7 linked regions of the Coturnix japonica genome follow. The main gene of each other region encodes a partner of the protein of the gene in region 3 in a complex. Links are inferred from orthologs where the notes say so. Each region holds a gene or a part of one and is shown on either strand. Other genes may lie near its edges.

Evidence for each region.
Region 1: RBM48 (region 3) and RBMX2 share a complex: the UniProt entries of both Homo sapiens proteins name them as parts of the minor spliceosome. The link is inferred for Coturnix japonica from reciprocal best matches to the Homo sapiens genes RBM48 and RBMX2.
Region 2: RBM48 (region 3) and SF3B5 share a complex: the UniProt entries of both Homo sapiens proteins name them as parts of the minor spliceosome. The link is inferred for Coturnix japonica from reciprocal best matches to the Homo sapiens genes RBM48 and SF3B5.
Region 4: RBM48 (region 3) and PLRG1 share a complex: the UniProt entries of both Homo sapiens proteins name them as parts of the minor spliceosome. The link is inferred for Coturnix japonica from reciprocal best matches to the Homo sapiens genes RBM48 and PLRG1.
Region 5: RBM48 (region 3) and spliceosome-associated protein CWC27 homolog share a complex: the UniProt entries of both Homo sapiens proteins name them as parts of the minor spliceosome. The link is inferred for Coturnix japonica from reciprocal best matches to the Homo sapiens genes RBM48 and CWC27.
Region 6: RBM48 (region 3) and CWC15 share a complex: the UniProt entries of both Homo sapiens proteins name them as parts of the minor spliceosome. The link is inferred for Coturnix japonica from reciprocal best matches to the Homo sapiens genes RBM48 and CWC15.
Region 7: RBM48 (region 3) and SNRPE share a complex: the UniProt entries of both Homo sapiens proteins name them as parts of the minor spliceosome. The link is inferred for Coturnix japonica from reciprocal best matches to the Homo sapiens genes RBM48 and SNRPE.

What each region holds. Positions count from the first base shown.
Region 1 is NC_029519.1:1,522,142-1,526,763, forward strand, and holds RBMX2 (RNA-binding motif protein, X-linked 2), read right to left. Parts: upstream 3,004-4,622; 5' UTR 2,955-3,003; coding exon 2,950-2,954; intron 2,868-2,949; coding exon 2,752-2,867; intron 2,604-2,751; coding exon 2,552-2,603; intron 2,474-2,551; coding exon 2,344-2,473; intron 2,222-2,343; coding exon 2,041-2,221; intron 1,627-2,040; coding exon 1,181-1,626; 3' UTR 673-1,180; downstream 1-672. Other genes in the region: SLC25A14 (brain mitochondrial carrier protein 1), read right to left, coding at 1-79, 300-363; RAB33A (ras-related protein Rab-33A), read right to left, coding at 3,082-3,537. UniProt on the Homo sapiens protein: Involved in pre-mRNA splicing as component of the activated spliceosome. As a component of the minor spliceosome, involved in the splicing of U12-type introns in pre-mRNAs.
Region 2 is NC_029518.1:41,251,528-41,254,313, forward strand, and holds SF3B5 (splicing factor 3B subunit 5), read right to left. Parts: upstream 1,213-2,786; 5' UTR 1,160-1,212; coding exon 899-1,159; 3' UTR 677-898; downstream 1-676. UniProt on the Homo sapiens protein: Component of the 17S U2 SnRNP complex of the spliceosome, a large ribonucleoprotein complex that removes introns from transcribed pre-mRNAs.
Region 3 is NC_029517.1:20,668,731-20,673,223, reverse strand, and holds the start of RBM48 (RNA-binding protein 48), read right to left. Parts: upstream 2,994-4,493; 5' UTR 2,792-2,993; coding exon 2,666-2,791; coding exon of another isoform or gene 2,576-2,665; exon of another isoform or gene 2,554-2,575; intron 2,496-2,553; exon of another isoform or gene 2,467-2,495; coding exon of another isoform or gene 2,353-2,466; intron 1,710-2,352; coding exon 1,519-1,709; intron 1,393-1,518; coding exon 1,247-1,392; intron 578-1,246; coding exon 57-577; intron 1-56. Other genes in the region: PEX1 (peroxisome biogenesis factor 1), read left to right, coding at 2,576-2,704, 2,994-3,137, 3,231-3,314, 3,555-3,669, 3,759-4,493. UniProt on the Homo sapiens protein: As a component of the minor spliceosome, involved in the splicing of U12-type introns in pre-mRNAs.
Region 4 is NC_029519.1:18,056,336-18,060,870, forward strand, and holds the start of PLRG1 (pleiotropic regulator 1), read right to left. Parts: upstream 3,035-4,535; 5' UTR 3,006-3,034; coding exon 2,922-3,005; intron 1,758-2,921; coding exon 1,651-1,757; intron 1,108-1,650; coding exon 965-1,107; intron 741-964; coding exon 687-740; intron 580-686; coding exon 486-579; intron 1-485. UniProt on the Homo sapiens protein: Involved in pre-mRNA splicing as component of the spliceosome. Component of the PRP19-CDC5L complex that forms an integral part of the spliceosome and is required for activating pre-mRNA splicing.
Region 5 is NC_029547.1:21,421,313-21,425,198, reverse strand, and holds part of spliceosome-associated protein CWC27 homolog, read right to left. Parts: intron 3,020-3,886; coding exon 2,876-3,019; intron 2,638-2,875; coding exon 2,539-2,637; intron 2,365-2,538; coding exon 2,261-2,364; intron 1,350-2,260; coding exon 1,280-1,349; intron 1-1,279. UniProt on the Homo sapiens protein: As part of the spliceosome, plays a role in pre-mRNA splicing. Probable inactive PPIase with no peptidyl-prolyl cis-trans isomerase activity. As a component of the minor spliceosome, involved in the splicing of U12-type introns in pre-mRNAs.
Region 6 is NC_029516.1:165,900,015-165,904,604, reverse strand, and holds the start of CWC15 (spliceosome-associated protein CWC15 homolog), read right to left. Parts: upstream 3,038-4,590; 5' UTR 3,015-3,037; intron 2,981-3,014; exon of another isoform or gene 2,869-2,980; intron 1,674-2,868; 5' UTR 1,666-1,673; coding exon 1,535-1,665; intron 1-1,534. UniProt on the Homo sapiens protein: Involved in pre-mRNA splicing as component of the spliceosome. Component of the PRP19-CDC5L complex that forms an integral part of the spliceosome and is required for activating pre-mRNA splicing.
Region 7 is NC_029541.1:2,015,738-2,020,211, forward strand, and holds SNRPE (small nuclear ribonucleoprotein E), read left to right. Parts: upstream 1-1,568; 5' UTR 1,569-1,674; coding exon 1,675-1,728; intron 1,729-2,260; coding exon 2,261-2,287; intron 2,288-2,669; coding exon 2,670-2,732; intron 2,733-2,825; coding exon 2,826-2,904; intron 2,905-3,580; coding exon 3,581-3,636; 3' UTR 3,637-3,858; downstream 3,859-4,474. Other genes in the region: MTCH1 (mitochondrial carrier homolog 1), read right to left, coding at 1,271-1,468. UniProt on the Homo sapiens protein: Plays a role in pre-mRNA splicing as a core component of the spliceosomal U1, U2, U4 and U5 small nuclear ribonucleoproteins (snRNPs), the building blocks of the spliceosome.

The sequences.
Region 1 (4,622 bases), on a different chromosome or scaffold from region 3:
CGGACCTCGCGGAACCGCGCATCGCCGCTCTGGCCCTGCACCTGCAGCCGCGTCTTCGTCAGGTCCACGGGGAACGTGCCTGCGGGGAGACCGGCCGTCAGCGCCCCGCCGATACCCGCCGGTACCCGCCGGTACCCGCCGATACCCGCCGATACCCGCCGGTACCCGCCGGTACCCGCCGATACCCGCCGATACCCGCCGGTACCCGCCGGTACCCGCCGATACCCGCCGATACCCGCCGGTACCCGCCGGTACCCGCCGATACCCGCCGGTACCCGCCGGTACCCGCCGCAGCTCACCGAACTCGGCCACGATGGAGGCGAGCCCGCCGTACACGAAGGGTTTCCAGTTCAGCGCGGACATGGCATGGCGGGGCGCGCCGCCGCGCCGGGCCGGACACTGCCTCAACTCCACCCGGAACCGGAAGCGCGGCGGAACGGGAAGCACTGCGCCCCCCAGCCGGGCGGACCCGGCAGCTCGGCCCGCAATTGGGATCCAGCGGCACCGCCCGAGAACGGCGGGGAGGAGACGGGAGAGCGCTGCAGGCACGGGACCGACCGGAACCACCCCGAGAGCAAAGCGCAGCTCAGATCCACTGCTGTGCGCTCCCCATTTCTGTGTCAGCTGCCATCAATGCTCAGTCCAAACAGCACAACCGGACACAAGCAGTGCTCCCAGTCATCTCCTCTGGTTAAAGGATCGATTTTTATTAAAAGGAGTTTAAAACAAAAAACGCCATGAACTGCGATGGCTCAGCAGCCTCTGATATCCATCACATAAACAAAGGAAGCAGGACGGGCTGGGGGCACAAAGCACCGTGCCCGCCTGCAAGCACCCACCGCCCCACTGCAGACAGGGACGCTCCCCCTGAACAACGTGGGCAGTTTCGGTGTCCGTATCCTGCTGCTCAGCACCCCACTGCCCACACTGTGCCGTGAGCCCCTCCACAACCGTCTGAGTGATGCCACTGCACAGAAGGGCCGAGCAAGGCAGCAGCAGAGCCCACATCACAGCCCACAGCACTGAGAGCAACCTGTCTGAGGAGTGAACCGGTCAGAGTGGTGTGTGTGAGACGAGACACAGCTGTGGTACCCTTAGGGCCATAGCAGGAGGCTTCAGACAGGCTCCCGGTGCAGCTCACAGAGCACAGCTGTGGCCCAGAAGGTGCTCACTCCAGGGCTCAGTGACGGCTGGAATCTCTGGTGGATCCACGCTCCCTGTGCTTGGAATGGGGCTCTCTGCTGCTGCTCTCCCGCCGGTGCCTGGATCTGCTTCCCTCAGAACACTCTTCTCGCCAGCTGCTGTGTCCCTCACCCTTCCTGCTGACCTCTCCTCTCTCTTCCCGTGAGCTGTTCTGCCCTCTGTGTTCCTGGGAGCTCTTTTCCCCTCTCCTCCCCGACGACCTTTGGTGTCTCTGCTCTTCCTCATCTCGCTGCGTCCTGCTCACGTGTTTCCTCTCAGACTCACTGCAGGACTGCTGACCCCCACCAGCAGCATATCGCTCGTAGCCAGGATCTTCCTTCTCCTTTTTAATCTTGATTCTCGGATGTGCCTCTTCGGCAGGTGCTGCTCTCTTTGCAGCCTGAGAGCTCTGCTTTTGCCGTTCATGTTTATTCTTCTCTTTATCTGAAACAAAAAGGTCATCCTTAGAGATGGACAGTCCTGCAAGCATCATCCCCACCAGTTCTGCTACAGAGCACCAGAGCTCTGTAGAGAAAGGCTTTATTGGAGCCTTTCTTCTCCCTGTCCCCCACTGTCCTGCCCCCTCCCCCTTGCAACATCCCTGCAGCCCAGCCCAACTCCTTTTCTCCAGGAAGAGTGCCACTATAACCTGCAAAATAAGGATCTCCAGAGGCAGGGGGTGAATGATCATAGATAAATACTGGCAGTGTGACGCAGATCACAGAGGATAAGCCTGGACATTCGGGTTGCATCTGTTTTCAAGAGGATCCCTATCCCTGCTGTACGCTGAGCTAAGAGTCCCTGTAGCCCACACAGATCCTCCCACCCAGGGCAAAGATGGGCAGAAATGCATTTCACCTTTTTGCTTTTGGGCTGGCGTGTCTTCATCCTCCAAGGAGGAATCTGACGACGTATGAGGTGGTGTTTTCACTCCGCAGCCCTTTGCATGGAGGGCTTTTGTGACATCATCTAAATCATCGGAGTCCTTGGGAGTCCGGTAGTTGGCCACGTGGTCCACTCGGATCGTCCTGCCTTTGATCTAGGACAGGAGTCAGGTAGTCAGCAAAGCGTGTGCTGTGGGGCCAGCAGCCGATGGAGCTTCTCTCTGATGTGCTCTGAGCGCTCCAGGAGCTGCTGCAGCCACACAGCTCCATCACTCACCTTGATCCCATTGAAGTTATCAACAGCAAGCACGGTGCTCCTCTGATCCTCATAGCACAAAAAGCAAAACCCTTTGGACTTCCCAGTCTTCTTATCCCGCACCAGATTAATGTTCACCACCTCCCCGTACCTGGAACACACCATCAGCAGCCACAGAGCAGGGCTGGAGGGGCACAGCAAGATGGGGATGGAGCAGGTAGGAACTTACTGCGAGAACACACAGATGACGTCCCCCTCTGTCAGCTGGTAGGGCAGCCCGCCTGCGGGGGGAGACAGGGCAGCGATGGAGGCCCAGCACGGAGCCCAGCACGGAGCCCAGCATGGAGCCCAGCACGGAGCCCAGCACAGGGCCTACCACAGCCCTGCTCTCTCCTCCCTCCCCGTCCCCCCATCGCGGCCTACACGTACCGATGAAGACCCACGCGCTGTCCTTGTACTCGGCGTGCCACGACACCGCCTCGCTCACGCCCAGCTCCGCCTCCCGCGCGTTCAGCTCGTTGATCAGCTTCACTTTGGTCAGCGGGCTGGGGGCGATGCACTCCGTTAGCACCGTTAGCACCGGCCGGTCGCACACCCCCCCCTCACCCAGCCCCCATCCAAACCTACTTCATGGCGGCGGCGGCGCGCACTGCGCATGCGCCCCCCTTACCCCCCCGCCTCCGCCCCCGCCCCGGCCGCGCATGCGCGCCAAGCAAAGCAACGAGTCCGAGGGCTCCGCACAGCTTTATTGGTCGGCGCTCAGCACGGACACGCGCTTTTACCGTGGGCGTCACGTGACGGCTCTAGCTTCTGCGCCCGGCCCGGCCGCTTCTCCATGTCGCGATAGAGCAGCGACTTCTGCGCCTTGAGCCGGCAGGCCAGGCACATGAAGATGGACTCCACGTTCTGGCTCTCTTTAGGGTCCTTGGCCGAGGTTTCGAACAACAGCATGTTGTGAGCGTCGGCGAATTTGAGAGCCATGCCGGACGGCACCTGGATCAGGTCCTTCAAGTCACACTTGTTCCCCACCAGCACTTTGGGGACCAGGGGGGACACGGCGTGAACGTTGCACTCCTCGATCCACATCTTGAGGTTGGTGAAGGACGCCATCTTGGTGACGTCGTACACGAAGACCACGGCGTGCACGTTGCGGTAGTAGTGCTCCACCATGCTCTTCCGGAACCGCTCCTGCCCGGCCGTGTCCCACACCTGCACCTATGGGGCACAACACGGCGTGAGCAGCCATTGCTGCTGCAGGATGCTGTGCTGCTGCTCTGCTCATTGCTGTGCTACAGGGGTGAAAGGCCCCAGCCCGGTGACTTACCTGCCCCATGTTGGTGTACCCAGCCATCATCCCTGTCAAACTGCACACAGCACTGCTCGTGTCAGAACAGACTAACACACCAACCCACCTAATGCTGTGCTGTATGAGGACACTGAAATGATGCTCTGTATCCACAAAGGAGGCAGGGCAAAGAGAGCGGCGTTCCTGCATGGAGCTCTGTCTGGGGGAGGAACCAGGCAAACAATAAGGATTAAAGAGCCGAGAGCCATGGAGACAGGGCAGTGTGCAGCTCCAGCCTGATCAGGGAGAGTAAATGGAAGGTGCCCTCTGCAGACAGATGGGAGTCTCATGTTTGCAGGCTTAGGCCCTTCTGGAGGCCTTCAGCCATTCCAGTGTATGCTGGAGGGGCAACACAGCACAGCTTAAAGCGTGAGATTCCAACTTCAAAACTCAAGTGATAGAAGAGCCAGCGAGGGAAGCTGCTACGCTGGGCCAGCTTCAGCAGGGCAGCTGTGAAGGTAAAGCCAACTCATTAACCAAGAGGTGGCTCTGAAAGAGTCCTGTGGGTCAAGGACCTATAGGAAAATGGGACCAAAGAAAGCTACCCAATACTGATGTGCCTCCACCTCTGAGCTGCCCATGTGAACAAAGAGGAAGTCAAGCAAAAATACCAAGAGGTACAAAGAGGAAGTACAGGGAAGGTGGAAGGTGAGACAAGTGACTTGAGAGGAGTACAGACACAATGTCAGAGCACACGGGGAGGTGGTTTAGAAAGAAATACAGCTGGCACTATATGTGACAAGAGATGTTAAAGGCACCAGGAATGGCTTTTCCAAGTCTATAGGGGACAAAAAGAAGGCTAGGGACACATGAATATAGCTTCTGACACCTGTCAAGATCCCCACAGAAAAACTGATACAGCCTGGGCTGGACGAGCAATGAAGTGCATTACAAACTGGCTGGACGGTCAAACCCAGAGGGTGTTCTTCAGTGATCAGCAGGGTGTGTGCCTGTT
Region 2 (2,786 bases), on a different chromosome or scaffold from region 3:
GTGAAATTCCTTCGTGACAAACACAGTGCACATCTGCATCGGAAACAAGTTATTTCTCTCACACTTCACTTTATCTGAGATTAAACTACATAAATTTAGGAAAATGAGATGGAGATCACAGTGGAAAGCCAAATTTCTCAGCCAAAACTCAGACTTCTCCCTGAAAGCAGCCTTGCTCATATAATAGAGATGGCCTGGAGGAAGGAGGCGTTCAGCTCTGCCCATGTGCCTTACACTTGTTGCTCACATTGTTTACAATGGCTTGCAAACAGCACTAGTCCCCACATATGTAGCAGGTTACATTTGATTCAGGATCATTTCATCTTTGCCCTCATTGTAGTACATGCAACAACAAAATCTATTCCTGAGTTCTTCAGATGGATATTATGGCTTGAATGTGACCTCAGGAGTGCATGCACTTGTTCTTACTGCAGCATCTTCAGCAGCTTAGATTATAAGGCTTGGTAAAGAGTATGAGGCGTTTATTGCTCAGAAATTCTGAGGTCACCAACTTCAAAAAAGCCACTGGTAAACTCACATACAACCTTAGCCAGGCTTTACTTTGACATTTTCCATTAGGAATAAAACTTCCCCCAAACATCCAACCTAAATCTTCCCTCTTTTAACTTAAAACCATTTCCCCGTGTCCTGCTATTGTTGATTACCACACAACACGTTAGAAACAGACAGCGGATTTTATTTCCCATTAAAAAAAAACCACAAAGGGCGAACAGCCGTGCAACTGAGCGTAACGAAAGTGTCCAAGAGAGGGCGTTACACAGAGCTTCCTTCTCCCTGCAGCTCCCTTCGGTGGACACGAGGATCGGGGCGGCTCCCACCATCTCCCCGCGGCGTGTGGAGTCACAGCCAGCCCGGAGCCGGTGTGCAGGGCAACGGGTTAGGATTCGTCGGGCTTGTCGGCGGGCGGCCCGCACGGCTGCAGCATCTTCTCCATCAGGTTGAAGCGGACGCGAGCCTTGCTCTCATTCTCGGCGATGGCGAAGTAGTTGAGCAGGTCGAAGTGGCCCATGTAGGAGCAGTACGAGTCGCGGTGCTGGTTGACCAGCCACTCCCACTTGGTGGTATCGGCGTGGCCCGTCCCGATGTACTTGGACTGGAGGTGCTCCAACTGGCTGTGGATGGTGTAGCGGTCCGTCATGGCGCTGCCCCTGCAAGTCAAATGGCGGCAGGAAATGACGCCACAGGACGAAGGGATCCTTTTCCGCTCCCATAACGGAGAGCGGGGGGGATTTCGCCGACTATCCCGGATGAGGGGGGGGGGGGGGAAGAATATGCGGGTTTATAAAGGCATGTCGGGGGGTGTAGTCCTAGATTGGACATGTTGGACCATGGAGGTGTCCAAGAGCCAATTGAACGTGGCACTGAGGGACATAGTGATACAGCAGGGATGGGCTGATGGATGGACTTGACCTTAGTGGTCTTTTCCAACCTTAATGATTCTGTGGGCAAAGGCAAACTTTGCAGCTGGGCAGGCACAAGGGCTATGTTTAAGCTAGGATCAAATGTTACCATTGGAAATTATTTTTCTTTTGTTGATGTGGGTAATATTTCATGTGGATATTAAACTCATGAGCAGATAGAAAACTTATAATTAGTATCACCTATCAAACTTGGTCAACGTTGGGACTGAAATACATTCTATGATTCATCAAATAAGTAGTCTTTCTTGATCATAGAATAATCAGATATAAAACTTGTAAATTATAATTTGTATCACCTATCAAACTTGGTCAAAGTTGGGAATGAAATACATTCTATTATTCATCAAATAAGCAGTTTTTCTTCTCTAGTTTTAAAATCCATGTTAAATTTAATAAGTGTGGAACAATACATGCTGTCACATGGGAGTGCTGACTTTAATTATTTGCTTTTAAATAGGAAAGACACGTAGCCAGCAATTTTCTGAGAGGATGCTTCAAGCTATTTCTTTGTAAATGCTGTATAGTCCAAAGAAACCCACGGAAATCTAATCCAGATGATTCAAGGCCGCTTCTTCATAAATGAGCATCTTATGAAGCCAAGGCCATGCAAAGCAGTGTCAAAACAATAAAACAATATAATACCCTAAACTATCTATCTTCTAAGCAACAATCAGTCAAAGCCGAGTTTGAAACTGTCTGGAATTCAGGAGCCGGTCGAGAGTGAAGTGGCCGCTGGGTGTCAGAGCTGTACCGACTCCGTACTCATTGCACGGGAGCTGTGGGTTTCTGCTGCAAGATCAAAAGGAACAGAGTAGATGAGGCAGATGCACCAATAGAGGGTGGTAGTGACTGTCCCCTTCAAGGTATAGCCGTGTTTTCACGTTTCCTGTAGGCTCTTTGAATGAAAAAGACATAGCTGCCCCTCCAAAAAGGGGAAAGGATTACTTTAAACGATAACTGCAATAAAAGCCCACACAGGTGATGAAATGAAGGGTGTCATTTATATATATATATATACATATATATATATTTAAGAAATTCCTCTATTCTTAACCATATTCATTTATTCTGCAAGTACAATAGTGCAAAAAAATTGTTGGAAGTTGTGGTAGCCTAAAATGAATGAAGATCTCTTGTGAGAGAAATTAAATAAGGACAATAAATTAACGTATTTATGTGGGAAATGACATTTCTTCTGAACTTTGTTGCTTCTACTGTAACTGGATTCTTAAATCCCTACTTACAGAGCTCATGTTACAAATGAGCAATATTAGGCTGCAGAAATTACCTGTCATAGGTTGCATGCTCTTTTTGTGCGTATTTTTTACCTTGGATTTCCTGTGT
Region 3 (4,493 bases):
ACTTCTTTTAAAAGGATGTGTGCAAATGAAAATATCAGAACTTTACGAATCCATACCTCTTTCAGCTTATTTCGAATCAGCATAGCTGATGTATTCAGTGAATCATCATCCATATCCACCTGAGGTACTTCTGGTAGCTGTGGGCCAATAACGATGTCAGTACTGTCCACGTTTGTTTCAGTGAGGGCACATTTGTTACCCTCTTCTCTCTTCCTCTTACGTTCCTGCAGGTGAGTTGTACGAGGCATAAACCTGTCAATGCCGTTATCAGCTGGAACTGTTCTTTGCTGAATTAAAGGCACTGGTGCAGCACATCCTCCTGGATGCGCCTTCTGAGTTAGGGATGAGCTTTGACTGGAGTTCCCAGAGGTTTCAGCACTGGGGTTGTCGCAGTGGGGAAAAGCCAAAAGGTCCTGACTGTGATTGCCAGAAGGATATTCCATGTTTTGGGACAACCCATGAGGAACTGGAAAGCAGGATGGATCCCAGTGAGTGGCTGCATGTGATCCTGGGGTACTCCACTGAGAATCAGACTTGGTCCTCCGAGGCCTCTCTGTTTTCTTCAACAGAAAGCAGTCTTTAAAACAACAAGAAAAGAAAAGGAAAACAGCTTCATTATTTTATGCCACTGTTAGTTCTAATACATAAAGTGTTCAATACAGTGACAGAAATAATACCAGCAATACTTCATTCCCAGTCACCTTCCTGTGATTCTGCTTAAGCAGCACCTGCAGTGGATAATGATATCCAAGTACATAAGCATAGGAAAGGAGAAGCCTGTGCCTGGCATTGTACTTATTTTACAGCTTGTCCAGCCTTCAGCGCTGCCTGGGAACTCAGCAGCAAAGCTGCCTGTCAGCCCAATCCATTCCTCGTGTTCCTTACTGACCCAAATGACAGGCAGGAAATAAGGGGCAGGGAGGGGGCTCTCTTACTAATCTCTCTTTTTGGGTATGCCTGAAAGAACTGTAACAAGGGGAACAAACTGATCCTCAGTTTCCTGGCAGTACTTAAAATTTCAGGTAACGTTTTGAAAAGAAATGAAGGAAACAATGAGGTTTAAAAGCTTTAAAGTGCATGTTAACTAAAACGTTGCTTTCTGAAAGGTCCATCTCTAGGAATAACTGAGAAATGTCCTAATGTAAAACAGCTAAACACAGTATATTTTCATCAATGGATGCTTTTGGCTTTACCAAGACGTACCAACCACTGGAATTAAAACTGGACATGAGATTTAACTACAAACCTCTTTGATTTGTTGCTTTTGCAATATACTTCCTTCTGTCCTGCAGCTTCTCCCTGGTTTCTTGGACTGTTTCAAATTCTGGAGCGTAGCACACGTGCAGCAAACTCCCAAAGAAACTGCGCTCATCCATCTTCTTCTTGGCCACCCTGAAGGAAACTAAATGGCATTAGCAGAGCTGAGGGTTTTACTTCAACTCTGTATGATGTAGATCATACATAAAGGGGCCGTGAAGGATTAAAACAACAAAAGGCAGATAGTGCTGTGTATAATACCTGGCACATTGCAGATTCTGGAATTTTATCAGATAAACTTCAGTGAACTGCTCTGCGGGATATTCATCAAGTGCATGGTACTCTTCTATGGCTCCGTACAAGGCAAACTGCTCCACTAACTCCTTCATGACGCCCAGCGCAGGAACTCCCTGGATTAGTAAATAACGCGATTCCAAGTTGATGGTGTACACCTGAAAGAAGCACAGGACAATCACAGAATTGTAGGGGTTGGAAGGGACCTCTAGAGATCATCAGTCCAACCCCCTGCCAAAGCAGGCTCCCTACACCATGTCACACAGGTAGGCGTCCAGGCGGGTCTTCAATATCTCCAGAGAAGGAGACTCCACCACCTCCCTGGGCAGCCTGTTCCAGTGCTCCGTCACCCTCACTGTAAAGAAGTTCTTCCACACATTAATGCAGAACTTCCTATGCTGTAGTTTCATCCCATTACCCCTAGTCCTGTCCCCACGCACTACTGAAAAGAGACCAGCCTCACCACTATGGCTTCCCCACCTCAGGTATTTATAAACCTGGATCAAGTCCCCTCTCAGCCTTCTTTTCTCAAGGCTAAACAGACCCACTTCCCTAAGTCTCTCCTCATAGGGGAGATGCTGTTCAATGCTCTAAAATGCCCACGTTTACCTCACTGCGAAAACAACAACTCAAAGCGTTCGTGCTGCCCGCTGTGTGGAGCCACCGCGGGCAGGGATGAACTCAAGCAGGGATGAACACATCACAGAACATCAGCTGGAGCTGATGCTTCTCCAGATGTCAGAGCACCGACACCTGCGGACTAAACAAGTCTCCAGCAGCCCACCCGCCCTCACCCCGCACCTTGACGGCCCTGGGTCGCCGCCCCTCGCGGTACTTGGCCCTGGACCCGCATGCTCCCAGCTGCTGGTGGTGCCTACACGCCTCCCCCGGCCCGCCAGCACCGCCCGCCGCCATCTTCCCGGCCGCCACCGCGGCTCCGGTCGGCTCTTCCGGGAAGGAAGTGGGCGCTGCCGAGAAGCCGGGCGGAACGAGCAACTACAGCCCGGCCCACCCGGCTGGCGGCATGTGGGGCAGCGGTAACCCCGGCGGAGGGGCCGCTGGAGTCGCCGCGGTGACGGTGGTGCTGAGCGGGACCCGGGACTGCTTCCTTCACCTGCCCGCCGTGCTGGCCTCGCACCTCCGCCTGCAGCAGGTACGGGGACGAGATGGGGGCGGCCCGTTCGGAGGGGATTGTGGGAGAGAGGTTCTCCTTCCTCCCCCCATCGTATCCCGTCATCATGGCGGTGCTCAGAGCCCTCCTCGAGAGGACGCACAGTCACCACAGCGACAGCGCAGGGCAACCAGCCGCCCCCCGCACTGTCGCTGTGGTGACTGTGCATCCTCCGAACGGGCCGGGACCCCTCGCCCCTGGACCCAGATGGGTCTGAGTATTTCTGAGTATGATTTGATAGTAATTCGTTTCATCTGCCTGATAATCACAGGGCCAAGCTGTCAAAGTATCCTGCCGTGATGAGCCCATCTACCTGAGCTGGATGGAAATGAGGCATCGAGGTCAGCGGGGTGAAAATATCGCAGAGATGAACAGGCATTTAGCAGAGAAGCTTGGCATTGCAGATGGAGAACAGGTTTGAAATGCAGGTCCCTTTTTTGAGTTTCTGAGTAGAGGTTTTATGTGTTTAAGGAGTTAAATTATTCAGAAATAATGTTGCTTCTATCAGGTGTTCGTGGAGCCCTGTTCACACGTCTCCTCCTGTCAGCAAGTAGAAGTGGAACCGCTCTCAGCAGATGATTGGGAAATACTGGTAAGAAAACCTGTCCCACTGTTCACATCATTTTCATGCAAATGACAGAGAATGTTGATACAAGCTTTTGTCGCAATCCCCCGTTCTTTTCTGCTCCTAAGCAAATGCTAAGTCTTGTGGGTTTTCATTGTATTTTATGTTTCAAATGGTGTATTAGAAAAAGATGTGAATCTTCTATGTTCAAACACATTTTAAAGGTTGTACAAGTGTGTAGCTTACAATGATACCACACTTTCCCAGGAACTGCACGCTTCCTCTCTTGAAAAGCATCTTCTGGACCAGATCCGAATCGTATTCCCCAAAGCCATCTTTCCTGTTTGGGTTGAACACCACACTCACGTTTACATCAGAATTGGTAAGCAGCAGTGAATGCTTTGCTGGTGCCTTGAGTAAGCTGTTTTGCAAGAGTGGATGCATTCATTCATCTGATTTATCCATACTCAGGTACACTTATGCCAGCAGCCCCCTATGGGAGATTAGAACCTTGCACGGAGCTTCTGATCTGCCCCAAAGCGCGTGAGCTTGAGGAAAACGTCGTAGACATGCCTTCTACAGAAGGTGACATCTTACTCAAGAGCTTTGTGAAGAATAGCATGGAGCAAGACGTAACTGTAAAGGAGCCTTTTGCCAGTCAACCTCACTTAAACCCAGGAGTCCCTGAACAGAGTAAGGCTGATGCAAATGTGACGTTTGGCTCAAGTGTTCTCCCAAATATGTGGAATTTCATAGGGAGCATTTTCTCTCGTACAGCTGAACAGAAACAAAAGACTCTGTGTGATAAGGATGAAATGAGCGCCTTCAAAGACAAGCTGCTGAACTTAATTCACATGGATTCCATTTTTAGAGTATGCCAGTCCCAGCCTCCCAGCGTACAGAACGCATCAGCTGTTCATGCATTTCTGAAACACGGTGCCATTCATGTTTTTCCACAGAATTTAGAATATACTGATTTGGATCCAAATGCTGTAGTAACTTATGGGAAAATTAACGGGCTGCTTTCCCCCAGACAGCGTCATCAAGAAGCAAAGCAAAATCTGCCATCTGAAAAGCAAAAACATTTGACTAGTACGCAAGACAAAAAAAATTCCAGTAACATTCAAGCGTCCAGTGAGGGGTCTGTTGTTCAGATCGTTTGGAATGGATTTGAAGACCTAAAGAGTGTCATAGAGTATGGCAACG
Region 4 (4,535 bases), on a different chromosome or scaffold from region 3:
AAGAACTTCTTTATGGTGAGGGTGACGGAGCACTGGAACAGGCTGCCCAGGGGGGTGGTGGAGTCTCCTTCTCTGGAGATATTCAAGACCCGCCTGGACGCCTACCTGTGCAACGTGGTGTAGGGAACCTGCTTTGGCAGGGGGGTTGGACTCAATGATCTCTAGAGGTCCCTTCCAACCCCTACAATTCTGTTATTCTGTGATCCCCATTCTCCCCCTTCTGTCCACTGCCTCTAATGACAGCCAAGAAAGAACACTGCATACACCAAGATGATATCTGACCAACTTAAAATCATATCACAGAATGGCTTAAGTTGGAGGGGATCTTAAAGGTCATCTAGTTCCAACCCCCCTGCCATGGGCAAGGTTGCAAACCATTAGATCAGGTTTTCAGGTATTTTATAAAGCTGAATATTCAAAGTACTTTGTTTTGACTTGTAGTTCTTGTAGATTATGCAAATGTTAATGAAGTAATAAAGCAGTACCTGGACTGAGAAGCAGGAAGAGATACTGCTAAGGACTGAGCTGCAGATTCACTCGGCATCCTCTGGATCTTAGTGTCTGCTGTCAGAGCCACACCTTAAAAAAAAAAAAACAAAATTAAATTAAAAAATTAAAAAAATAATTAAAAAAAAAATCTCAGTTTAACTCTGAAATACCTGATTTAAACACAGAATTTTACTTACCAGGCCCAGGTGGATATGGATGTGTGCCAGTTATCACATACTCCAGTTCTTCTCCTAAAGACCAACAAAATAACGCATTCAAACAAAACAGTACAACAGAGTAGGTGGTGCAAAGCATCCTCAATTTGACAACATCCTCAACCCTTATTAGCTCTCTAATACCCAAATATAGCACACACTAGCATTACCTTAAAACTTGCTTGTTTTACTAATGAATTAAGTCTCCTACTGTTTCCTTGTGAAAACAAAGAACAAACATGGTACTAGGAATAACAAACCTTCATTTCCGGAATACTGTTTATGTCCATATGGATCCCCAGTGGCTGGGCCTCCTTTCTCTCTCATGTTTTCTTTAAGAGTAGGCATGTGCAATACTGAGCCGTACTCAGTACGCAGCTTGACTGCCATCTTTACTTTGTGGCTGTTGGAAGAACAGAGCATAATCCTGATTAAATCCTGATTTTTGAACTGCTACTAAGTTTTGAAATATTTTAAAAAACAGGAAACCTTTCATACAGCTAACATTACAATCTTCATGCTTTTCAGTTCCCTTAACTGCTAATTGTACTGAACACCCAAACTCCTGATTTGGATAGGATTGTTCTCTATAACTTCCTGAAGGGAGGTTGTAGTGAGCTGGGGGTTGGCCTCTTCTTTCTTGTCATTAGTGATAGGACTAGATGAATGGTTTCAAACTGTGGCAGGGGATATTCAGGCTGGACATTAGGAACTACTACTTCTCAGAAAGGGTGGTCAGGCACTGGAATGGGCTGCCCAGGGAGGTGGTGGAGACACCGACCCTGCGGGTGTTCAAGGAACGACTGGATGTTGTGTTGGCTTAGCGGGAGCTAATAGTAATGTGAACGGTTGGACTAGATGATCTTTTAGGTCTTTTCCAACCTTGGTGATTCTATGATTCTATAGAACAATTGCTAACAAAGTAAAACTCAGCCACAGCACTCACCTTTCATCATCTAATGGTACAGGTTTGGCATTATCAGCTACAAACATATCATGGGTTCTCTTCAAAGATCTGAACACAAGTGTGTGCACAGAGTGCTTCTGGACTTCCTAAAATAAAGGAAAGCATATTTAAATAAATTTAGCCACGTTTAAATGAAAAACTGAAATCTGAAAAAGAAACTGAGTAGCAATTTCAGACTTGCATATGATACAACACTATTCCCATCAAACACTGCTCCTCTTAGAAACTACAGATTCAAGTATATCTATTAGTTGTTTTAATTCAATGCCTGCTCAAAGTAAAACCCAGTTTCTCAGAAATGACAAGCCAGAAAAAATTTGCACTATCATCTAAAAATACATGAATACGTTTATCTTCCATGTTTTCTAGATGCTTTTATACCTAAACAATAAAGTACCTGATTCTGAAAACATTCCTTTATTGCACTACCTCCATAAAAATGAACATCAGTTTCTGCACAGTGTCACCCTATGTAAGAACAGTGATGTTTACTATAAGAAGTAATCCTGGGATCAAATAAGACAAAGCCTCTTGTCCTTTTGAAATTACACATTACTAAAAGCTAATAATTGTTAATATCTCAGTCAGGGCCAAAATAGTAGAACTTAAAGCTATTAGCTTATATAGAATATTTGTTTAGGACCGCGCAATTCAGGTTTTAATTCCTACCTTCCTCTCAAGGCACAATAAATAAATAATTAGAGATGTGATAATCAGAGTATGAGCCTCTTTGTGCTCGCTCTGTATGTCACAAATAGGAGCAACACAGAGTGGAAGCATTAAGAACTTCGGGCTCTAGTTACCATTCAGCTGCCCAGCCTCCACACTCCATTAAGCTGGGGCTTCCTCCACTAAGCTCTGCTTTCCTGCCCTGGACTCTGCTTACCCACTCATTGCCCCATTCTGCCACACTTCATACTCCCCTAACTCAGTAGGGCCCACACAAAACTTTTAGCTCAGGACGGTCCTGTAAAATCTAGATATCAAATAAAGAACATCTATAATAGGGCTTGGGAACTAGAAATTCCATGCAACTGCAAAAAGAAACAGGAATTACAGTAGCAAATGTCTGCTTGTCGCAATAAAAGCAATAGGTAACTCAATACCTCCACAACAGGAGGTGAACAACTATAGATATCTCTGGACAGTGATGACACCCAGTAAAAGAACTGTTACGTAGGAGAACTGCACAGCATCTTCTGTGCTCCTACCAACAACACTCAGTAACACAAGAACTGAACCGCCCTCACCTCCACCATGGCGCCGTCGCTCCCCGCTCCCCGCTCCCCACCGACAGCGATGGAGACACGTCCGGCTCCTGCTCTATACCTCATAGGAAGTGACGCAAATCGGGTGCGCCGGGCTGCATTGAGGAGCTTGCAACGCCAGGGTGCGGTGTTGCACTGGCGTTTTGTTCTTGGTTTGTTTTAATAATAATATGTTGGTTTGTTTTGTTTTGAACTTACAGTCTCGGCACTTTGCGTGCTGTCGTCTGCTGAGTGAATCGGGCTCGTTTTTAGTGCATCTTGAAAGGAAAACCTCCTTGAAATAGAGACCTTTGTAGCAATCCGAGAAAAGAAAGATCTGTGTTTTGTAAGAAAACTTCACTTACATGTGCTACTTATTACAGCATCCTTAGATTTTACAGAGGCCTGTAATTACACTCTTTTTTTAAAGACCCCCCCCCCCCCAAACGTTTACATCTAATTGAACATCTAATTCTACAGTAACCCTGTCACAGTGTGACATGTACAACGCCAGCGGCTTCCAAGGACGTTTCTAAATCAGCTGCCAACAACTGGATTCCTTTCAAAATCACATTTACTGGCACAGCTTATCAGTGGCCCAAGATGGCTCTATTCCCCCTTGGCCCAAATTACCTCTGTGATGTGTTCAGCCTAAAGGAGCCAACATACAAGGATGGGGTTTGTGTAAAGAGTGTTGCACCATGGGCAGATGATTTGGCAAAGCAAACACAAGAGGCGGCACATGAAAATTCATTCCTAAAAACACACACATACACCTCTGCCAGTAAGTAGCTCTCCAGGACAAAAGCAGTGTACAAAGAGATGTTCTGGAATACCATTTCGGAATGCTACAAAGAGATACCGGAATACCATCAGGTCAATGCTTTCTTTTCGCAGTTCTTCATAGCAGATTTGTTGCATTATCAACACTACGTGAGTTCAGGAAGAGTTTCTCATTAACCATGTGAGCTGGGGAGGAAGTGAAGAAAACACAACGAAGAAAGATGTTCTGTTTGGAGACAAAGCCTCCTTGACACCGTTTTAAGAAGAAGATTAAGCCATGTTCTTGGTTGTTCATAAGGCTTTATCCAGTCGTTATACAGTGTCAGCCTAGCTGTAACAGTTGCAAGCATCAAAGAAAAGTCCCATCTCACACCCAGCAAGCCAACTAATGGAGATTAGGTCCTGCTCCCCAAATATTTGTTATATTCATGTATGTTTTCCAATATACCTTGCTCCCCCTGCAGTTCCAGATTCTGACTCATGCTAGAAGCATTTCTCGCCAGTGTAAGTCATGTCCCCATGCAGGTGGAGCTTTGCTGAAAAGCCTCTTCAGGAAAAAGCCTTGTGGTACAGACACGGCTCCTTCTAGGACAGATGCTTCTTCAACCCAAATCCGCACACCAGTCTTGGCACAATGGGCATGTGGTTCATTCATTGTGGTTCCTGGTAATTCCCCGAGGAGACACAGCTGGCTAACTCTCTTTGGGAAGCCAATGAAAATACTGGAGTGGGGAGGGTCAAAGGCTGAATTTCATAGGGAAAATCCTATCAGAAGGCTGATGAAGCTGGGGGATTCCCAGGCCAAACATGCTTGGCATGGACACAGCCACCACA
Region 5 (3,886 bases), on a different chromosome or scaffold from region 3:
GGGAACTGTAATTTTTCAGTCTGGAGAAGAGTGGGCCCAGGAGATCTTGCATCTCTCTACAACTACCTGAAAGAAGGTTGTGGTGAGATAGGGGTCTGCCTCATCTCCCACATAACAAAGCCTGTAGCTTTGTTTAATTAGTTACTTTCAGATTTCCCTAAGTTGGTAATTTTACCACATTTGACAACCCCCAAAAAGTCAACAGAACAATTTCACAGCACGACAGCACCAAAACCGAGCTTGTCAGGAAATAGATGTTTAGTCTAGATAATTTTAAAATGAAGAGCAAGTATTTGGGGTAAGTGAGAAGAACACAGCGAACAAGTTGAGTACAATATTGAAAAACAGACAAATATGGCAGAATGTCAGACAAACATGCTCTTAAGGGATGTAAGCATAGTTAGTCAGACAGGTTAAGTCAAAACCGGGAAGCATCAGAATTAAAACTACTGTGATAAAGCTCTTCTATTAACCTAACAGGCACTACCTTGTGCATTGTGTACTGTGCATTGCTGTATTCACTGTTGTCCTCTGTACCTAATTATAGGGTTGAGGATAATTTTTTTATAACTGCACAGAATTTAATATAATGTAGTCTCATCACTAACAGAAAAATGTACTTGGATGGTACAAATAAGTTATAACATCTGGAACTCTAGAGAAATAATTTGGTAAATAGTAGAAATGTGGATGGCAATTTGCAAAAAACAAATTAAAAATTAAACAAATGTGGGAAAGTCCAATCAGAAAATATTAAAGACTACCTATGCCACCCAAGTTCTGTGAATTCGGATAATTCATGTGTAACAATTAATTACAATAACATGATGATTTTCCCACAATAACACTTATTCTTTGTACAGAATATACTCACATAAGAAAATAGAACTAAGATTTTCCTGATAATGATGTTTACGTGTTTCAACTCTCAAGTGCTTTACCATCAGAAGACATCCTTGTAATTAAGTGAAAAAAAAAAAAGTACCTGTCACTTTATTAGACAGCAGAAATAGCTCTACACTATGAAACATGGAACCATTTTTATATTTCTATAAACACCACCATGCAGTAACTGAAGGCACCTTCTACACTAGAAAAATTAAAACGTTTTTTTCTGGAAATCAAAATAGTAGAATTATAAAAATAAAGGTAATTTCTAGTATTATTGTTCAAAACTTGAAAGTAAAAACAATACAAAGAACTTTAAAATTTTTCGTAAGCATGTAAAAAAGATAATCTTAAATTGAAAATCAAGATGAGGATGATATTGGTATGATACCTGACTAACTCTGTTGACCTCCTCCTCTTCTTCTTCAGCTTCTTCCCCAAATGAAAGCAGATTAAAATTTCTTGAAGAGAAAAAATACATTTTCTATTAAAACTCTTTATTAACATTTCATAAACTTCAAACATGCAACTTCCATTTTCTTTGAAATCTTGTTTTAACTATTTTTCCTGCTAAACATACCAATTCAACAAACAACCAGTGTTGAGGGACATTCCTGTTCTACAACTGAGATGGAACTGACAGGGCAATTACAAACTAGAATGCTTTAAAGTTACTTACCTAGAAAATGGTAAGACTGAATATAAAATTCTGCCATAACTAGCTTCCAGAGACTTAAATGCCAAGATCACTTTATTATTACTGTTTTTTAATACAGCAACACTACAGCAGTAAACACAAAATTCTCAAGACACAACAGCTCAGGAAAGCAGCAACCACAAATACAATTTCACAAATGTATTTAGAAGAGATTGTGATCTTCAATGCTTTTTTTTTTTTTTTTTTTAGTTATTTTTGCACTGGCTTAGAAACAGCTAGTTGCAATACAATCTGCTCCTGTCTAATAAATGTGTAAATATACCAAATTTCATTCATAAATGAATGCATTTAAAAAGCATTTGAAATTTAAAAACATTTTAATAGGAGAAAAGTGGTAGCTGATAAAATAAATTAAAAATCTAAAAGAACTGCACCCAAGTTACTAATATGTATTAACTTCTGCATCATCTCAGTCACAAATGATTGCATATTCTTTTTGCCCATGGCTTACACTCTCCCTTGCACAGAAACTACTCAAAGCACAGTAACTACTCAAAGCAATTAATCTCTATGATCTCTTAGCAGTTAGGGTTAGGTCTAACATTAGAGAACGTTCTTCTTGCATTTTGGTTAAATCTTTGTTTCAAATAAAGAACAACCAAGCTGCTATTTGAAAGTAAAAGATTAATTATGGCTCATGCTGTATGTATTTACTTTGTGCCTTTTACTTTGGGCTTTTTATCTTCTTCTTCTGGTTTGTCCTTCTTCAGCCTTCTATTTGGTCTTGGAACAATATCATCAAATGGATTAAACAAAACCTATTAAAAAAAGAATATTTTAGTCACATCCCTAATAAGCATTCTTAATTAAATGATCCAATGATTCAGTATTTTAAAAACAATATATAAAAGACACACCAGGTTTTCACACCAGATCCCAGTTTTCTTAGAAATACAAAAAAAACATCAAGTTTTAAAGAACAGCATACCCACCTCACTACTTCTTATCTTATGCGGACTGAGTGGTCTTTCTTCTTTGTCAACTTCCACTTCAGCTAGCCGCAACATGTTATATATTGTATCTCCTGTAACCTATCAGATATACAGGAAAAGTTTGAAACTACTTAAGTACTTCTGCAAAACGCAAAGCAATTATTACAAGACAATCTGAAAATACAATTGATACAGGAAATACTGTAGGCATACAAGACTTTTAAAAGGGAGTAAGTACAGATATCTAACAAAAACAACACTACAAGAACATTCAATAATAGAAGAACATATATATGCTTCTATCAAACTCAAACTGAGACTACTCTGTGTAGCAGACCTTTCCAAAGATCGTGTGCTTGTTATTAAGCTCATCTGCACGGCCCAATGTAAAAAAAAACTGACTGCCATTATCATGGGGTCCTGCATTTGCCATAGCAACAAGTCCTCTTCGATTAAATCGCAATCGTGAATGGAACTCATCCTGGAAAAGACAAAAAGAAGTATGTAACTACCATAAATTAACACACACTGACAAAAAACAAAGAGTTCAAATAAATTAAAAATTCAAACATTAATAAAACCAAAGTAATTTATATCTTAGTAACAAGACTTTAAACTTCTCTTTAGAGCAGAAAAAATATTTTAGTCTACTTTTTCTTCTTACTTTCTATAATAATACAAATAGGCAAACAAAATTATTTCAAAACAAAACAAAAACAAAATCAAAGCACATAGGAAAACACAGCTAACAAAATCTGAAGAAAAAGTTTCGAAGCTACTCCGCTAATAACAGAAACACAATCTAAGATAAATTAACTTTTGCTAATGTTTCCCTTTTTCTAAGTATTGCCTAATACTCATCACTACTGCAGAAATTAGTGCTCTAGCCAATAGTAAAAGAAAAAAAGAAAAAGAAAGCACTTCTTAAAGTAATGGCATTACAGGTAATTCTTGTAAAACCATTATTGTAGTTAACTGCTTCATTTGGCAGAAATCCTGAGTCATGTAAAATAACCAGAAGTTCAGTAACTTTGTAATAGTATGGTATTACGGTATTACTCAAATCCAAAGGAAGAACATTTTCAGGACCATGAGAAAACAAAAGAGGGCACCAAATGAAGATGATATTGATAAGTAATGCATTAATACCACAGTAGTATAAAACTCCTAAGTGCTTTCACACTTAACAATAATACCAAATTAAAGAAGTGTTGTTACTACAGTATTAGAAACATTTGTTTTGATGTTTTCTCAGGCAGCGATCCCTCCCACAAACTTCAGATTTGCATTACAATTACAGCTGTTGGACTGAAGGCCCAGAAAGGTCACACAGGTTCAGTCGCCAGCT
Region 6 (4,590 bases), on a different chromosome or scaffold from region 3:
CTAATATTTTCTCCCCATAAGACAGAAGAGACAATGTACCACTGCAGGGGAAAAAGAAAAGAAAGAAATATGGAGGGAATGAGCACAACAGTCGCTTTAGTAAAACACAAGTGCATCTTTTCCCCTCTTTTATATAATATACACAGGCAAAAATCAACAGGCTGCTTTCATTCAAGTCACACAAAGTTCCACCTAGAACATGCTGGACTTCTCTGCAAGACTTGAGAAGAACTGATGAATAACAACATGCAGCAATTCCTTTCACCTTGCTGTGAACTCAGGTTTGGAAATAAGAGTGTCTGAAAGAAACCCAGGCTCCAGTCATTAGAAATACACTGCGTGCACAAGCTGTCTTTATGCTGAAGCATTTCATTTGCTTTTACAATTAAAAACTTGAATTCAGAATCCCTGACATGGCTGCAAAAATCCCCCCCAGGCCTTTTGTCAAAGAGGCACGGGAGAGTGGGACTGAAATACCAAATCTTTCTTGCAATTATGCAGCCCTTGGCAAATTAGCAAAGACAACTTTGTATTTGATATTTGGGAGAATGAACTTAAGATGCTTAATGCCCCTTCACACACACATACACACTCACTCAAAGGGATTCGTTACCACACACACATCGTATATTCCTGTATGTATTTCTTCCCACACACTCATTTCAGAACAACAGACTGGTGCTCCACACTCCCGCTCTGTTTAAAGAGACAGACCACCAGCCACTTTTCCCTTAATAGCACATTTTGTGCTGTTGCTTTTGGTGATCTCTGAACATCCCACCTCCCGTATCCATGTTACCTTCAAAGTTATTCAAATGGGTGGAAGGGAAGCAGTGAAAGGGTAAATATCTGCACTAAGAAAGCAAAACCCAAGCAACAGTTTAAGCTAGAAAAAAAGACTATTTTCAGGCTGACACAACTCAGTTAAATCCTGTGGCATGTTGACTCCAGATTTCATGCTATCTTAAAAGAACATAAATTATTAAGCATTCCAAACACAGGATAGTATTCATATAAAATCCCATTATCTTTCACACCAGTTAAAGCAACAGGCTCTTCTAGAACCCTTCTAGTGTTTAACATCAGCTCTTCCAATACTTACTAATGCCTGAGTGCTGTTACACATTGCCCTGCCTCTTCTTAGTGCTCTTCCCCAGGTTCTTTGCCAATATATGACATACTCAACTTCATACCTCCTATCCCATCTTGTAAGTCACACCACCTTTCTAGCTCAGCTGTCTCTGTATGTTCCCAATGCTTTTCTTTTCACTCCATTGCCTGAAATGCTTAATCTGTAAAGATTACCTTCTCCTGATTCCCTTCCACAAGCAGTTATTGACACCACTAAAACTAAACCTTCCAAATCAGTTGCAACCCACTCAATCTCCTAAGCCTGCTTCTGTGTCTGCTTAATGTCAAGCAAACAAATATCTAACGTGAAAGAAATTCAGAGTGTTGGTCACATCACAAAGAAAGAAAACAACAAAACAGCTCCAGGCTGCTTTGCTATAAGACAGACAATAACGATACTTACCTGTATTTGATTTTAGTATGAGAGGGAAGGTCTCTGCTGGAATACTGCTTGGATAGCTGACTTAAGTCTCCTTCACCTTTTCCTCTCCCTCCTCTTGCAGGCTCAAACGTTGGCCTCGCTGCTGTCGTCATTTTAGTTACTAGAGTCAAGGGCAAAAAACAGTCATTACTATAACTTAAAGTGAAAGCCATTCACCAGAAGCTACGTCATTCTTGGAACTGCTGCAGCAACAGCAAATCCCACTACACAATACAAATTATCAACTGGTGCATGAGCCTTAAAGCTTAAGAGCTTCTTTTACTGACAGCTTCTTTTCCAACATGCCTGAAAGATGATAGAGACTCAATCAAGAATGTGAGGTCATGTTTATAGAAGTGGATAAAATGCCAGGAGCCAGTCTCCTATCCTTATATCTTGGTAGAAGAGTAATTCTTTCCCCTCTGGAAAAAAACACAGGATCTAATAATGAAATCACAGAACTGTGGGGGTTGGAAGGGACCTCTAGAGATCATCGAGTCCAACCCCCCTGCCAAAGCAGGCTCCCTACACCACGTCGCACAGGTAGGCGTCCAGGCAGGTCCTGAATATCTCCAGAGAAGGAGACTCCACCACCTCCCTGGGCAGCCTGTTCCAGTGCTCCGTCACCCTCACTGTAAAGAAGTTCTTGTGCACATTCGTGCAGAACTTCCTATGCTGTACTTTCATCCCATTACCCCTAGTCCTGTCCCAACACACTACTGAAAAGAGACCAGCCTCACCACTATGGCTCCCATATAACTGATGCCAAGAAGTGCTCAGCACTGCACAAAGCAGCTGGAGGCCACGCAGACCCAAACCATAGAGCCAAAAGTTTAGGGCAGTCCACCAAGAAACAAACAAAACAAAAGAATCAAACCAACCAACCACCCTGGATGACCCATCAGTGCCATCTTCAGTCTGTTAAACGAAACTACACACATCCATAAGCACAGCCTAAGGACTTAAATAAGAGACATACAAAAGGTGGTGAGGCCCTGGCACAGCTGCCCATAGAGCTGTGTGCCCCATCCCTGCTCAAGGCCAGGTTGGATGAGCCCTGTGCAGCCTGAGCTGCTGGGGGCAACCAGGGGTTTGCTCCGATCAGGTTCCATCAGCGCAGCATTGGAGCAGCCCCGTCAGTGCCGCACAACGCCGGCTCGGCTGAGCCGCCTCCATCGGCGCTCTCCCAGGCCCGTCCAGGCCGCCCCACGGCCTCAACCTCCCTCCCGGTGTCCCCCCAGGCTGCCCACCACCCCAGGGCCGACCCTCCACATTCAGAAGCCCCGATTTAATCCCTTCAATCCCCCTTCTCTGACCTCGGGGTCTCCTCCCGCTGAGCAGCCGGGCCCTACGCCACCGCCATCATCCCGCCCTCTACCCACAAGGCGCCGCGCAGCCACCACAGAGCGGAGCGGCGGAAGGAGGAACTACCATAGAGATGGAAGGCGGAAAAACTTGTTACCTCAGTGCGGAATTGAGTCCGCCATGTTCGATAATGAAGTGGAAATAGACGCTGTTGGTGCCTGAGTGGCACCTGCTGTCCGCCCTGAGGTACAGCAGCACTGCGTGTGAGCTGTGCTTTAAAGTCGTGTATGACTGTGAGCAGTACACACACCCTGCTGTGCTGCCATAGAACCCTTGTGCTGCTGCTTTTCTGTGTGCTTACAGAGTCATCCCAGCTCCTCCCGGCTGCCTCCCACCCCGCTGGTTCTTTGGCTGTTTGTGCTCAGTCACAGCTCCTGCTCCACTGTCTGCCTTTGCTTCCTGATGGCTGCCAATGGCTTTGCAATGAGGAAGAGACCTTGTGACTATTCTCAACAGAGAAAAATCCACGAGTCAGCAAGAATTCCCTGCAAAAATAAGCACAGAACCTGAACTAGGCCCTTCCTAAGCACCCAGGAGAGGCTCACAGGGGAACGAGCCATCCCCCTGCAGCCCACAGGCACATCTCGCATCTCTCATACTGTGTCCAGGTGTGGAGCCCTCAGTACAAAAAAGACATGGAGATTTTGGAAAGGGTCGAGAGGAGGGAAACGAAGATGATCAGGGGACTGGAGCACCTCCCCTATGAGGACAGGCTGAGGGAGTTGGGCTTGTTCAGCCTGGAGAAGAGAAGGTTGTGGGGTGACCTCATTGCAGCCTTTCAATACCTGAAGGGAACTTACTCCCAGGACGGGAGTAAACTCTTCGAAAGGGCTGATAATAGCAGGACTAAGGGGGACATGTTTTAGAGATTAAAAAGAGGGAAAGATATTTTAGGCATCCTCAACGCGCACTCGCACTCTATCATACCAGGGGGAAGTTCTTCACTCAGGAGAGTGGTTAGGCCCTGGAACAGGCTGCCCAGGGAGGTTGTGGATGCCCCGTCCTTGGAGGTGTTCAAGACCAGGTTGGACAGGGCCCTGGGCAACCTGATCTAGTAAAGGTGTATGTTTGGTGGCCCTGCCAGGCAGGGGGTTGGAACTACATGATCCTTGAGGTCCCTTCCAACCCGGGTCATTCTGTGATTCTGTGATCTCCGTATGCAGACATGGAGGAGCCCACTGTGCAGCAGTGGAAGAGTCCTGGAGGCGGAGCAGCCCCAGGCCAGGGTGCAGCCTGTGGAGAGGAGCCTACAGTGGGGCAGGAGGGCTGGGGGAGCTGCTGCCCGTGGGGCTGTGCTGGAGCAGTTCCCCACCCACAACATGATGTCAGCTGAAAGGCACTCAGCAAGGGAGGGAGGAGGGTGCTGGGGGCATGGGTGGCACTGAGGAGCACACAGTTCTGCCGCTCTCTATCACAAGCTCGTCCCTGAGGATGAATTATTGTTTCTGCAGAGTCAAATGGTTTCTTTGAGCTCTGACAGAGCAATTAATTTTAGCCATGTGATATTTACATGCAGATGAGCTGCTGGGCTATATGTCACTCAGTATCTGCATCCAGTGTTAGGCAAAAATGCCCCACTGTGGGAATTATTAGCCAAACAGCTATGCTAAGGACTAAGCTAATTTTACCCTTTTCTCAATGCTGGCTGACAATGATTCAGTCCCTGCTTGTTT
Region 7 (4,474 bases), on a different chromosome or scaffold from region 3:
CCCAGTGCAGTGATGGAAGTCCTGAAGCTGACAGGCAGTGTGGACTCAATCCCACCTGCCTGAGCTGCTGAATGGACCCTCCATCACCCTATGGATGCCCATGATATGGACAGTCCCTATGACAGATGGGTGTCCCATGATATAGGCAGTCCCTTTCCTGTTACTCCTCTTGGGGTACAGGAGGCCCCCATCCCCCTCATTTTATAGGGTTCCCTATTACAGAGGGGTTCTGAGGATGAAGAGGGATGAAGACCCACATTCAATCCTTTGTTATATAGGAATCCCCATTGTGTGGGTATCTTCATCCATCCCATTTTATGGGGTCCCCTCACCTGTCACATAAACAAGCCTCCACTGCACACGTTGGTCTTTATCTTTGGTATATATGTTTATATATGAGTTCCCATTCCCTGTTATACAGCTGTCCCTGATGCAGCAATATCCCAATTCCCACAGTGCTCCCCATTCCATCCTCACAGCTACAGGTGGGATCCATACACACAGATAACGGTGACTGAGTGCCACCCCATCACACAGCACGACCCTCCTCACCCCATTACCCCCCTCAACACATTATAAGGAGGGAACCCCCATTGCCACATATGGGGGATTCCCTTTACACAGGGTCCCCATAGCCCCCTATGGGGTTCCCCATCATTACACAGGCCGTCACCCCCATATTAACCCCCTCAACACATTATAAGGAGCTCCCATTGCCACATATGGGGGGTTCCCTTTACACAGGGTCCCCATAGCCCCCTATGGGGCTCCCCATCATTACACAGGCCATCACTCCCCCATTACCCCCCTCAACACATTATAAGGAGCTCCCATTGCCACATATTGGGGGGTTCCCTTTACACAGGGTCCGCCATAGCTCCCTATGGGCGTTCCACCATCATTACACAGCCTCACCCCCCATATTAACCCCCTCAACACATTATAAGGAGCTCCCATTGCCACATATGGGGGGTTCCCTTTGCACAGGGTCCCCATAGTTCCCTATGGGGTTCCCCATCATTACACAGGCCGTCACCCCCCATTACCCCCCTCAACACATTATAAGGAGGGAACCCCCATTGCCACATATGGGGGGTTCCCTTTGCACAGGGTCCCCATAGTTCCCTATGGGGTTCCCCATCATTACACAGGCCGTCACCCCATAGAGACGCCCCACGACCCCCCCTCACACCTCGGCCTACACCTCAGGCCTCCCCCCTGCCCCCACACGGGGGTCTCATCCCCCCCACACCCCCTTTAGGCCCCGGACCTGGACGAGCAGCTTGACGTAGAGCAGGGGGTGGCTGACGGCGGCGAGCCCAGCGCCCAGAGCCACGAACAGCCCCTCGGTACCGTCGGTTCGGCCCGGTCCGACCCCAGGCCCAGACCCGCCGCCAGGGGGCGCCAGCGCCACCGAGGGCAGCGGAGCTTCGCCCGCCATGGCCCCGCCGCCGCCACCACTGCGCATGCGCCGCCTCTTTGCGTATTGGTGGGCGGGATCTTAATGCGAGACAGCACTGGTGGGATCTGCGAGCAGTAGAGACGCGGTCCTCCCGCTTTCCTAGAGCGGCAAGTCTTCCAGCGTCCCTTGCGCGTTCCCGCCTTGCTCAGCGGCTTCCGGTGTTCTCTGCGACTTCCGGCGGAGCTTGTGGTGGCGGCGGGCAGGGAGTAGCCATGGCGTATCGAGGGCAGGGCCAGAAGGTGCAGAAGGTGATGGTGCAGCCCATCGTATCCTTGTCCGGAGGGGCAGGGGACGGGCCTGCGGGGCCTATGGAGCCTATGGGGCCTATGGGGCCTATGGGGCCTATGGGGCCTGTGGGGCCTATGGGGCCTATGGGGCCTGTGGGGTCTATGGGGCCTATGGGGTGTGTGGCCCTATGGGGGAATCTATGGGGCCTATGGGGTCTGTGGGGCCTTTGAGGCCTATGGGGCCTGCGGGGTCTCTGGGGCCGAGTGGGACCTTTGGGACCTATGGAGCCTGTGGGGCCTGTGGGGCCTGTGGGGCCTGTGGAGCCTATGGGGTCTATGGGGCCTGTGGGGCCTATGGGGTCTCTGGGGCCTGCAGGGCCTATGGAGCCTATGGGGTTTCTGGGGCCTGTGGGGTCTCTGGGGCCGAGTGGGACCTATGTAGCCTGTGGGGTCTATGGGGCCTATGGAGCCTATGGCGTCTCTGGGGCCGATGGCGAGTGGAGGGTAGGAGCGGCCCTGCAGGGCCTTGTGTCTCTCTGGAGTTGTTCCCGTCCTTAACGCTGCTCTACAGAACCTCATCTTCCGCTACCTGCAGAACGTGAGTACTGGGGCCGGGGCAGGGCTGGGTTCGCCTTTGGGTTTGTAACTTCTTGGCTGCTTTTGGAGCCCATCGGCTTCAAACGAAGAACTGGTGCTGTTTGGGAGCATAAGAGCTGGCTCAGAGATGAGCGTTCTCCCTTTGCATTAACACCTTTGTATGTTGATTGTGCCCCTGTGTGTGTAACACACACTCAATAACCCACACCTACAAGGTTCTGTGTTGGGAGTTGCTCTTTGGGGTGTTTCAGAGCTGCAGTGGCTGTTGGTTGCAAAGATTTCTCACCACATTACTAGCAAGGCTTTCTTAAATGCACAGAAGCAAAGACCAGCATTGCTTGAAGCATTTCTTTTCCAGTTTATTCACCCTGATTGTTTTGCAGAGGTCCAGGATCCAGGTGTGGCTTTATGAGCAGGTGAACATGCGGATAGAAGGCTGCATCATTGTGAGTACCAACATGTCCATGTGTTACCATTGGCTTTCCCACGTTCATGAGTCTGTGTGCTACCAACTGAGTGTTTTTGCCACTGATTTTCAGGGCTTCGATGAATATATGAACCTGGTGCTGGATGATGCAGAGGAGATTCACTCCAAAACAAAATCAAGGAAGCAGCTGGGTATGTCAACGTGTTATAGCATGAAAGGTGGTTGGGTGAGCCTTGCTGGTAGCAACACTTAAAGGTGGAAAGCACATGCCAGGTGTTGGTTTGGGAGAGCATTGGGCAGGTGCTGGCTCAGTCTTTGTTCCTGATGTTTGTTAAAGGTGATGATTTTGCTGAATGTAAAGGAGAATCTCCCTGTGCCTGAGACCAGTTGTTATCTTTTAAATGCTGTCTTTGTACAACTGAGGTGTCTGGAGGAGTCTGGTCCAAACTCCTTTGGGCTGTTTCTAAACTTGGTAGCCCTGAGCAATTCTCGTACCTGCTGGGTCAACTCTTGGCCAAAGCAGGAGCCACCTGACTGGTGGTATTTACTATTTACCGCTGCTGGAGAAGATAAAGCTGTCTGTGATGAGGGGATGCGTTGATTCGGATTGAGTTTATAGCAGGGACAGTGTTCTGCTGGGGCTGAGATGGTGTCTGAGAGTTGGGAGTGGATTATGAGTATGGACCCTGCCCTGCTATGCTTTCCATATGGGGCTGCCAGCAGGGATAGGACTCATTGCAACCCTCCCCCTCTATAATAGGGGCATCTTCTTGCAAGCATCTCCTGTTGTGGGATAATATGTGAAAACATGAGGTATTCTTGGATTCTGGGATCTCTCTAATCCCCCATTTCCTTTCTGTGTTGCAGGTCGGATCATGTTAAAAGGAGACAATATCACTCTTCTACAAAGTGTTTCTAACTAGAAATCGCTGTTCTTAGGGCAGTGATTGCAGTTCAGAATGGTTTGGAGTGAATGAAGAAGGTGCAGTGGGAGATCTACCCCTGCTGGTAGATAGAAAGTTACATGTAACTGGCATTGCATGCTGAGCTCAAAGTCCCCTCCTTTTGTAGGAGTGATTTTTTTTGTAGTCTGAAACAATAAGGGATGTATTTCCCAAATAAACATTTTTCACGTTGTCTGTAAACGGAAATCTGCATGGTTTTATTCTCAGCTTTCTATGCTTGGAGAAGGCAGAGAAATGTACATCAAGTGATTTGCTGTTGGTCCGATAAGTTCCTGATAGCTCTGTGCTTTTTGGGTAGTTACAACATGAGACAGGACAGGCTCTGGTGTCACTGTCAGGCTTGAGCATGCATGGCTCTAATTAAGTTTGTTAGAGGTTCTACGTGCAATTACCACCCTTTGTTGTCAAAACAGCTGGTTCCTTGGGTGCTTTCTGGTGGATCAGTGGGTTGGTGATGGATTTGAGGCTGTGATACAGTGATCCGACATCACAAACTATATTAATAGCTGTACTTTGGTAAAATATCATCATTAGATAGGGCAGCTGGTTGGGATTAAATCTATAATTTCTTCTTTGGGCAGCATCTCTGCATTAAATCCTAGTGCTGGGATGTCAGATGTGGCTGGATTTTATCACTATTATCCATGTAAGGATCTGTCCTATTTAAGTTTCCATAAGTGAGCTGAGTTTCTTAGTCCATCAGCCAGAGATCAGTTCCCTTTTGCTTGGATGAGCAATCCCCTGTTTTTCTGTTAATCATTTTTCCTTTTGTGTGGATATGGAAAACACCGTACAG